Linked DNA regions of Neodiprion lecontei. The main gene of each other region encodes a partner of the protein of the gene in region 2 in a complex. Links are inferred from orthologs where the notes say so. Each region holds a gene or a part of one and is shown on either strand. Other genes may lie near its edges.

What was found. The genes of interacting proteins can lie anywhere in the genome.
Region 1: the proteins of serrate RNA effector molecule homolog (region 2) and nuclear cap-binding protein subunit 2 are in contact, whole or in part, in a cryo-EM structure (PDB 8PMP), measured with the Homo sapiens proteins. The link is inferred for Neodiprion lecontei from reciprocal best matches to the Homo sapiens genes SRRT and NCBP2. Residues at the interface, in NP_056992.4 of Homo sapiens: Asp857, Arg859, Ala860, Ile861, Val862, Glu863, Tyr864, Arg865, Ala869, Asp874; in NP_031388.2 of Homo sapiens: Ser48, Phe49, Tyr50, Thr51, Thr52, Glu53, Gln55, Lys67, Met71, Leu73, Met76, Lys77, Lys78, Thr79, Ala80, Tyr89, Asp107, Glu121.

The regions. Positions count from the first base shown.
Region 1 is NC_060261.1:34,859,685-34,863,887, reverse strand, and holds nuclear cap-binding protein subunit 2, read right to left. Parts: upstream 2,193-4,203; 5' UTR 2,039-2,192; coding exon 1,970-2,038; intron 1,887-1,969; coding exon 1,566-1,886; intron 1,392-1,565; coding exon 1,287-1,391; 3' UTR 1,241-1,286; exon of another isoform or gene 1,162-1,240; intron 966-1,161; exon of another isoform or gene 823-965; 3' UTR 519-822; downstream 1-518. Other genes in the region: ras-like GTP-binding protein RhoL, read left to right, coding at 1-79, 208-410; MICOS complex subunit MIC27, read left to right, coding at 3,133-3,147, 3,269-3,441, 3,717-3,862. UniProt on the Homo sapiens protein: Component of the cap-binding complex (CBC), which binds co-transcriptionally to the 5' cap of pre-mRNAs and is involved in various processes such as pre-mRNA splicing, translation regulation, nonsense-mediated mRNA decay, RNA-mediated gene silencing (RNAi) by microRNAs (miRNAs) and mRNA export.
Region 2 is NC_060264.1:19,007,152-19,012,035, reverse strand, and holds the start of serrate RNA effector molecule homolog, read right to left. Parts: upstream 3,020-4,884; 5' UTR 2,863-3,019; intron 2,445-2,862; 5' UTR 2,439-2,444; coding exon 2,314-2,438; intron 1,355-2,313; coding exon 1,094-1,354; intron 1-1,093. Other genes in the region: uncharacterized protein LOC124294542, read left to right, coding at 4,366-4,473, 4,612-4,830. UniProt on the Homo sapiens protein: Acts as a mediator between the cap-binding complex (CBC) and the primary microRNAs (miRNAs) processing machinery during cell proliferation.

The DNA.
Region 1 (4,203 bases), on a different chromosome or scaffold from region 2:
AGTTCGTACGAAAACGTAGCCAGCAAATGGTATCCGGAAATCAAGCACCACTGTCCCAACGTGCCAATTGTCCTTGTCGGTAAGTGTGTAATAAATATTTCAAGTATTCAATATTCCACATTATGCTGCTACGAGTGATGTGTGTTTGCCAACAACTGATCAGACTTTAGATTCCACTTAAAACTATTTATCATATATCTTGGATAGGCACTAAGGGTGACCTGAGGAACAGGGAGGACACGGATGTAATAACACCGGCAGAATGTAAGAAGATGAAGAAGAGAATCAAGGCCTACAAATACGTCGAATGTTCGGCAATAAAGTCAGAGGGACTGGAAGAGGTATTTGTAGAGGGGATTAGATCCGTGCTGAAAAAACCGGCACCGCGGAGACTGTGCGGTATTCTTTGAAACGGAATACAAGCACAATCGTATACATCACATATATTCACGCGGTACTTTGAAAATTGTTGATGTTACGGGGCTACCCGTCAATAAGAAACGATAAGATTATTGTTATTAATTTTAGCATTACTATTATTATTATTATTTTAACCGGTGCCTACCATTAATAACATTAATATTATGATTGGACAAGTTATATCGCCGAAGCTTCATTTCTGATACTAAAAGACGCGAAAAGAACGAATTATAACCAAAGAATCCCTCTCGAGTCCTGCCGTGTACATACATATATATATATACAGTATTGTTCAGAGTATAAGCGGTCCCCGAATTCTGCGACAGTATTTCAGGATGTTTTTCTTGATTACACGCACAGAAGACTGGTCCGCGTATTAGACGACGACGATTTTGGCGGCTGCTGTCAACGACAAAAAAACCTCGGCTTATATCCAGAACAATACGATATGCATATATAATTGTAATGTATAATGTGCGAATATACGTGTGTCTTTTCTGTACAAAATATAATAATTAATAAAAAAAAAAATCTTCAACTGTCAACCAAAGTTGTATCGCGCGTGTACGTTATACATATTAAATATAATATCCGTAGGAATAAAGTTTTTTTACGTGCATATTGTGGGTGTGAAAACCTTTCTTCCATTTGTCACGAAACATGAATCATTTAATGACTTACACAAATATAAATAAATGAAATAAGGAGAACCAGATAGAATAACTCTTTCGCACACGAAAGTTCTTTGTCACCCCAAATCTTTGTATATTCATCACAATATGCCTGTAGTTGTCAATGAATAGAATTAAACAATACGCACATCACCGATCATGATCAAATGTGATTGTCATCCATAAGTGTGTACTTCATCGACCAAATGCCCCATCCACAACGGGTGTTACTTTTTGTTGGATTATTTTTCCATAGCCACCTCTGCCACCGTCAAAGTCGGATCTGTACTCGTCTCTGACCTGGTAATTAGATGAAAATTATCAATCATTATAGTAACTCACGCAACATGTTAAAGTATCAACTTGAATCTTAAAATCAATTCAAACTATTAGATAAGTTTCCTGACTGGCAGAATTAGTCGGTGCCCCGTATTCAAGTTCCCCGATATTCAGGTATAGAATAAAGTATCTTACCTGACCACCTGTCTTTCCTCGACCATACTGTCTGCCTTCGATGAACCCAGCGTCCCAATCCGTACGTATAATTCTATCGTCTAAACGGGTCCCATTAACATATCGCATACAGTTTTCCGCATCGGGTCTCAAATAGTACTCGACGAAGCAAAATCCACATGGAGTTTTTTTGTACTTATCCAGTCCCATAATAATTCGTCTAATGTCTCCGCACTTTGAAAATAGTTCATATATCTGCTCCTCTGTAGTGTAAAACGAGAGATTACCAATGTACAGAGTCGTCGAGTTCCTTAATAATCGGTCCTGTTCAACTCGAGATCCCTAAAGGAGGAGTAATAATGTTTTTTAACACGTCGAATGTTATTGAACAGGTTATGTTAGCGTAGAGTGATCGAAGTACGAACCTTAAAGTGCTGGTCACGATAAGAGCTGAGGTCAACCGACGGTGAAATTGGACTGGTCGATAGTGCCATCGCTTTATCCTCGTACCGTGAATTTGGTAATCAACTTTTGTAGTATCCCAATGTGTTTATTCGACCAGAAAAGTCAAATGCGCCGTCAAACTCCGACATACGTGCGTTTATGGCGTTTACGCTGCGTTCCGACGTTTTGCTCGATAGGAACGCGGACGGTGGACCGCGAGCCGAGCGGAAAGCTGGAAACGGACTGCGACGAACCCGCCATATTTGAACGACCCAACCCGAAATTCAACCTGAAAACGCAACAAATCCAAATGGTAAATTATTAGTTTGATATGTAAGACGTGAGCGAAAGATTAAGAACCAATATAACGGAGGATGAAGGACATTGTGCACAGTATTTTGGAAAAAACGGTTGGCAATATTTTTGGTAAAGACATAACTTGTCGAGAGCCGGTCGATCGTTGCGACGACTACCAACCAGGAACTTTGGTCGAATTTGGCCGAACCGGCGTTAAAGTACGTATCTTTATCACGTCATTTTTAAGACCCATTTCAGCGATGCTGTGCGCATGGATCGTCCATGAGTTCAATGTCGGTATTGAGGAAAAGATAAGATAATTCTTCAAGATGCAGGACGATGTATAACGGGTATGCAATAGTTGTACAAGCGCACAACATGTGGCTAATAATTGACGGAAAGAGACGACGTAAAAGAAAAGGAATAACGAACAAGTCGAGAGTTGTAAAAACAAGGTCAATTGTTTTTTCCATCTTCACTTGCATGCGTGATTGACACTGCGAAGAGGGAAAATGTTTTTACCGTTAATTATACACACATAGCGTTAATAGCATCGAAAAACATCCGTTTCAAATTCTCGTTACCTCGCATATTCGCATTTCACAACCGTTGGTATCGTGCATATCCGAATCGCAGCTTGTTGTGAAATTTTTTCCCAACATCACGCGGACATTAAATTTAAACAATCGGGTCCGCGTTCCGCCCGTTCCGCTCGTTCCGGTCAAGAATATTCTTCGTCGATTACGTCACGTGAATGTCTGCTGGTACAGCTGACTGACCAGTGACACTCTTGATAGGTTATCCGACCTTTCGGTATAAGTAGAAGAGAAATAATCCGTCGACCAACATGCACGGAATCAAGGTAAATATTGCGTGACGGAGTAGAAAGACATTTAATTTCAAATTTTGATATCAATTTTATCAGTACTCCGATTTCCAATTCTATTTTAAATTCATATTTTTAACAATTGTTGTTACTTAAGTTTTTCAAGAAATTCCTGATGCCTTGTGGGCTGTGCGCAGCGACACCGATCGTCAAGCCGGCCCCTCCTCCGTCAAATTGTCCAACGCCTTGCGAACTAGACGAAAAGAAGTTGATTCGCCCCTCCGAGTTGCCGATATATACGCTTGGCTCACCGTCAAAAGTGGACCAATGGTAAAGCAAGTAATTGATCAACGCTCAGAATTGTTTTCAGTCAAGCCTGCAATTGATGCTTGGATATCTGACTCGACGTCCCTCAGAGCAAACGAACCCAGTAAGGCATCCTTTCGATCGCGTCCCCCTTTATCCCGCACTTCATAACATTGGTTCAGCCATAAAATGTGTGAATTATTTCAGCACAAGTATCAGCAGTATTAGACATAATTTTTCTTAGGTTGCTTACATTATCGAGAGTCATGATGTTCTAAACTAGACATGCATTGTTTCAGCCCCACACCTGTCAATTGTGAGCCGTCGTACTTGGAACAGGGTTTTGGCACGATCAGGAAGTCCTTGTCTGGTGTTTTCACGCAGTATCAACATATTACCGAATCTATTACAGACAAAATAGATACAGGAGTTGCACACAGTGAATGTAAGTCGATGTACTTATTCGTATCACTGTAAACAACGGAAATTCAAATTTGAAGCAGAACATCACTGCCGTAGGTCCTTAGCATCTGCTAGACTCGCAATCAAACGTTATTTGTTCATATTCCAGCTACTCCAATTTGTAAGAAAATAAATGACGAAGAAAAAATTTTCCATATGATACCCGTCGTGTCTGGTTAATAAGGACTTTTATAATGGATCCAGACAAAGTTCGACATGTACAGTATAAAAAAATGTTGCTCAAAGATGCAAGGAGCATACCAGGTTCGACCCATGATGAATTGCACGAAACAATTTTTCCTTCGATCCGATTCTTATGACAAT
Region 2 (4,884 bases):
ATAACACATATTATTCAAACGTTTTAAAACAATTTTGATTGATTTTTCATTGAAATGGATTCTGAGGATTCAGAAAGATTTTATTTAAGGTGGCTCCCGTGCAACTTTGTAAATTAAACGAAAATCCTCGGGGTGTTATTTATTTACCAGAGTTTAAAATTAAAATTAATGTTGAAATATTTCTCAGTTGCACAAATACGTAATGAAATTTGCTACACAATAACAATAAGTATAAAAAAAACAATTTTTTCTCATGGAACGGAGTATATCCTTGATATGTGTAGTGCTTTTGACAGCGCCAAAAGCGGCAATCCTGTATGCAAACATAACGTGGATCGTGTGTTATCGTCTGCGGTCTAAAGTGTTTATATCGTTTGTGCTTTGAACTTATTTGAGTACGAGGGGGCCACAACTCGTGTACATGCACGCCAAGAATGTTAGATCGGGCATCGTCGCTTTTGATCACTATTTTTAGAAAAACTTCAACGTCAATGCGCACTTTTCTCAAGTTTATTCGATTGTTAATATCCATATACATCCACACTATACCTCAATTTTTTTTTTTATATTAACACTGCAAATAATCACTACGTTTTAAATGCAGCATTCTTGGTTAGGATTATTTTCAAAATTTTAACCATGAACGCCACTTCTTCTGTACATCATTGTCAAATTCAAGACTTATTCTATCCCTTCATTGTATTCGCTCAACATTTAAGTGTTTATTAAGTCAAAGGAAAGCTTAAGAAATCTCAACAACTTCGAGGTTTTCAAAAATCTTCATTGTTAGAGCTACAAACTCCAACAATTTTGCGTAATATCAAGAAAAAATAATGAATACCTACCTCATCCTGGCCAAAAGTCTAGGCGTGAATCTGCTGCGCTTTGGCAACATGCCGTGCGAAATAAGAGCGGACAAAACTCTATTATCGTCATATAATCTCTTCATGGTTAATTACAGCGAGACAATAATTAATGTAAATGACAAAATAAAATGACCACGGAACCTTATTCTCATCGATCGTTAGCAGATGCAGCTATTTGTGATAAAAGTAACAATGGGCATTTGAAGAGAAAAAACAGACAAGCTCACCTGTTGTTGTTTGAATGGTTGCCGTAGTGATGGTTGCTATGGTGTGCCGGCGTGTAATGATCTGGACCCCAGGAAGTTCCGCCACCATAATAATCGTGGCCCCCGTAACGCGGACGGTCTTCCCAGTCAGCCCGCATCCGCTTCATCGGCGGAGCCATTTCCTGGGATCGAGCTGGGCTGTATCGCTCTCGACCTCCGCCTCCCCCGCCACCTCGATACTCACGGTACTCGGGCCTCGCTCTTGGACGACTCGACCATTCCCTGGGAACAGAAATCAAAATTTTTAATACAAGGGTGCATTTGGTATAAAATGTTGTCTTGAAAATACAAGTGCAAGGCTTGATAGAAGAGGAAGAATTAATGAATACAATTGAGTATGACGTTAAAATTTGCGAAGTTATCGTAATGGCGGAATATCAAAAATACTCGTTGTCTATTAACTTTCTGAAGTGTCTGAAATCCAGAAAATCTGCATATCATACTGTTTTGGCAAATTTGTATCTTTGAAATTCAACTCCTTCAAACTTCATTTTGAAGCTAAGGGTTGTTACATTTTTTTTTATCATGCTAAACTCTCTGATTGTTACAGGTTTCTTATAAAACCTATAGACGAGAGATTTGTAGCATACACGATACAAAATCTAAATTGATAAAAGCACAATGTTAAGGGTCAATGGGTTCCACCGTCTGAATCGAAAATTTAGGAACAAAGGAAAGAAAGGAAAAGTAGTTTAGAAGATCCTCCGCAGTATTATTTGGGCAATTGATAGTGAACACAATATCTTCTAAACAGTTTTAACTCTTTTCCGAAATTTCATTTAAACAACCCAAGTAATTAATCCTTGATTCGACATATAAATTATTCAGCATACGGGATTGTTCTCTCATCTATTTAGATTTATTAATGACCTTGAACTTAGTAACGATAATGTGATGAAACATTTAAGAAAAATCAGGCATCTGCATCTTTGGAACTATTTCGAATAAATTCAGTTTCCAAAATATAAATTAAGGGTATGGTATAACTTCGTTACAGTTTACCAAATTTCAGACAATACTGCTGTTGCAATATATTATATTTTCTAGCAAATCTGTTGTTACAAAAATGTTGTTAATGCCTGGACTGCTGCTTGGACAGTGTTTTTAATGAAGCATCTGAAATTGTCTTCGCAGAGCTGAACCTAAAAGAACTTCACTTAGAGTAAAAGATTTGCACGTACCTGTCAACCCACTCATCTCGGCGACGATCATCGCCACGTCTTCCTTCTCTGGAGTATGACTCGGTTCTTTCGCCTCTGAATTTGTCCCTCCTCTTTCTATCGTACTCGTCATCAGAATCTGCCATTATGATCTGTAATTTTGTAAACGATCGATTCAACAAAGTGCCCAGATTAATAATAGAGACCATTGTTTACTATTCTCAACTCGTACAGTCGTAGAAAACTAATACAGCGCAAGATCCACGATAACAATAATAATAATATAGATTATTGTAAGAGGCGTCCAGATAAGGTGAAAGCTTTCGGGGACAGAAAACGAGATCAGTACGATACGAATGATCTCCGATAGACACAAACTCGTCGCGAAATTCGACTGTCGTTAATTTGTGATACGCTAAATGACGACGCGTACTCTCGTTGGCTTGGACAGCGGTACGGAGACTTGATTGACGCGTTATTGGGAGGTTATGCTCGACGTTTCAGTTCTGTGGCCGGATTTTTGTCATGCGAAATGTATACTTGTACAAAATAAAAGCATAGTACAATTACCTGAACGATCGCGGATTAAACAACCGGCTTCACGGCGTAGCACTCAACACGACACACACGATTTATCCTCCCGCGGCTCTTCGCTTTGGGTGGCTACAACACTGAGATGTAAGTAGTTTCAGTGGGCTACAACCAGCCCCTTACACAAGCTGCTAAAAGTGGTTCGCAAAATGTCCCTCGATTCTGCCGCCAATCTCCACCACTAGTGGCGCTAGTAGTTGTCTGACGGCTTGCGCGCAGTCAACGAGGGCAGCGTGCGTATCAGAAGTCTATTAGCGCCAGGTAGCGGAACTAAAAAATGGGGACAAAACGCGTACAATTTTTTAGTATACGAGCAGTGGTGAGTGTCAAGGGCACGGCTACAACCCTTTTTCGGTGTTCGGTTCTCTTCTTCGGGTGAATTTGGTAACAAACTTGCTAACCGAGTTCTAGGGATTTTTAGACATAGCGTAAGATGAATTGTCTATCAATGGGATCATATCAAATCAGAAATAATGTGACGTTACTTGACTTGACTTGAAAATATAAAAATTAATAAGCAGCAAGTCAAGTTGTCCCAATTTCCTGAAATATACCTAGCAGTTAACTTCTAGAAGCTGAAAAAATGTGTATCCATACTTCGATATCGGACATGCTGTGGATTACTCCTATGAAGTTAAAAATTTTGGGAATCTCTCCTCTATCTTTCGACTCCAGCAGGCATCATCACTGCTAGACGAAGATTAAATTAGATCTAATAAAAGAGTTGCTGTCACAGCATCTACTTCGACTCTTTCACGATCGGCAGCCATAATTGCAATTCAGGGCAATATTTTACGCATTCAGTGCTAAATTCACGCACTCGAGCTGCCAGTGGAACACGCTGGAAATACGAGTCTACCGTTAGTGCGCTCTCAGTTCACACTCAGTGCAACCAGTGGAAAACGCTATGAATTCATTTTCCCTAGGATTTCGGTTTTTCTGTTGGCCAAAAACTGGGTAAATCGCACTCAGTGCGCACAAAGTGCAGTTTAAATTTTACCTTTGCTATTAAGCTGGGATTTCATTGGCAGAAATAAGCAGCAGTTTAGTATCTAATACTAGATGTTACTAATATCTGTCTAGTGATTTGACGCAGCAGCAGTTCTGCTCATAAAATTTCTTGCGTTTGCTGGTTTAATGATGAATTTCAAACATCAAAAACTTGCGCCGCAAGTGCTGGTAACTTTTAGTGAATTGCTGCTATTGCTGCTCCTTTTTCCTGCCCATGGAATCCCAGCCTTAAGTTAAAAACAAGGGAAATCGCAGTCGGTGGGCACCCAGTGTAACCAGCTAAAAACGGGATAAAATGGACATAGTTGCCGTTGTCCTCGCCTGGCAGCACTGCGATACACTATGTGGCCACAGTAGTTAACCAGCAGGGAAACAAAGTGGAGGTGACGAAAGTTTGGTAAGCATCTGTCGCACATATTTTCGCTTTTATATACGTTTATACGAGCGCGTTTTTAATATGAGTTACCGAGAATGACGCGAAAATGTTTCGTCCGCGGATGCTCGAGTGGCTACGCATCTGAAAACAGAGAAAGCACTTCTAGAGGAAAAAGGAGAAGAACTTTGTTTAGTACACCACGGGTAAGCGAATGCTTGTTTCCTTCAGCAATATATGAATTATGGGCTATTCAAAAATTTTGGAAATGATATATTTGCGTTGCATAAACATTAGGAACTTATCACTTTCTGTAACGAAAAACATATTCTTCTACATCACAGTGCGAAGAGCTGCGGAACAAGTGGAATGCCGCCTTGGCTCGCGATGACCGAACGTTATCTGCAAATGACTCAGTTTGCGAACTTCACTTCCATGATAGCGACGTCGAAAAATGTTATCAAACTAAAATGCCTGACGGAACTATTCACAGGATAGAACGTGGTAGATACAAGTTAAAACTTGGCGCTATACCATCTGCTTTTGTAATCAAACGTTCAGAGGTACAGTCCCTAAATTTGGTTCAACGGATAAAGTTATAGTAGCGTACATACTCG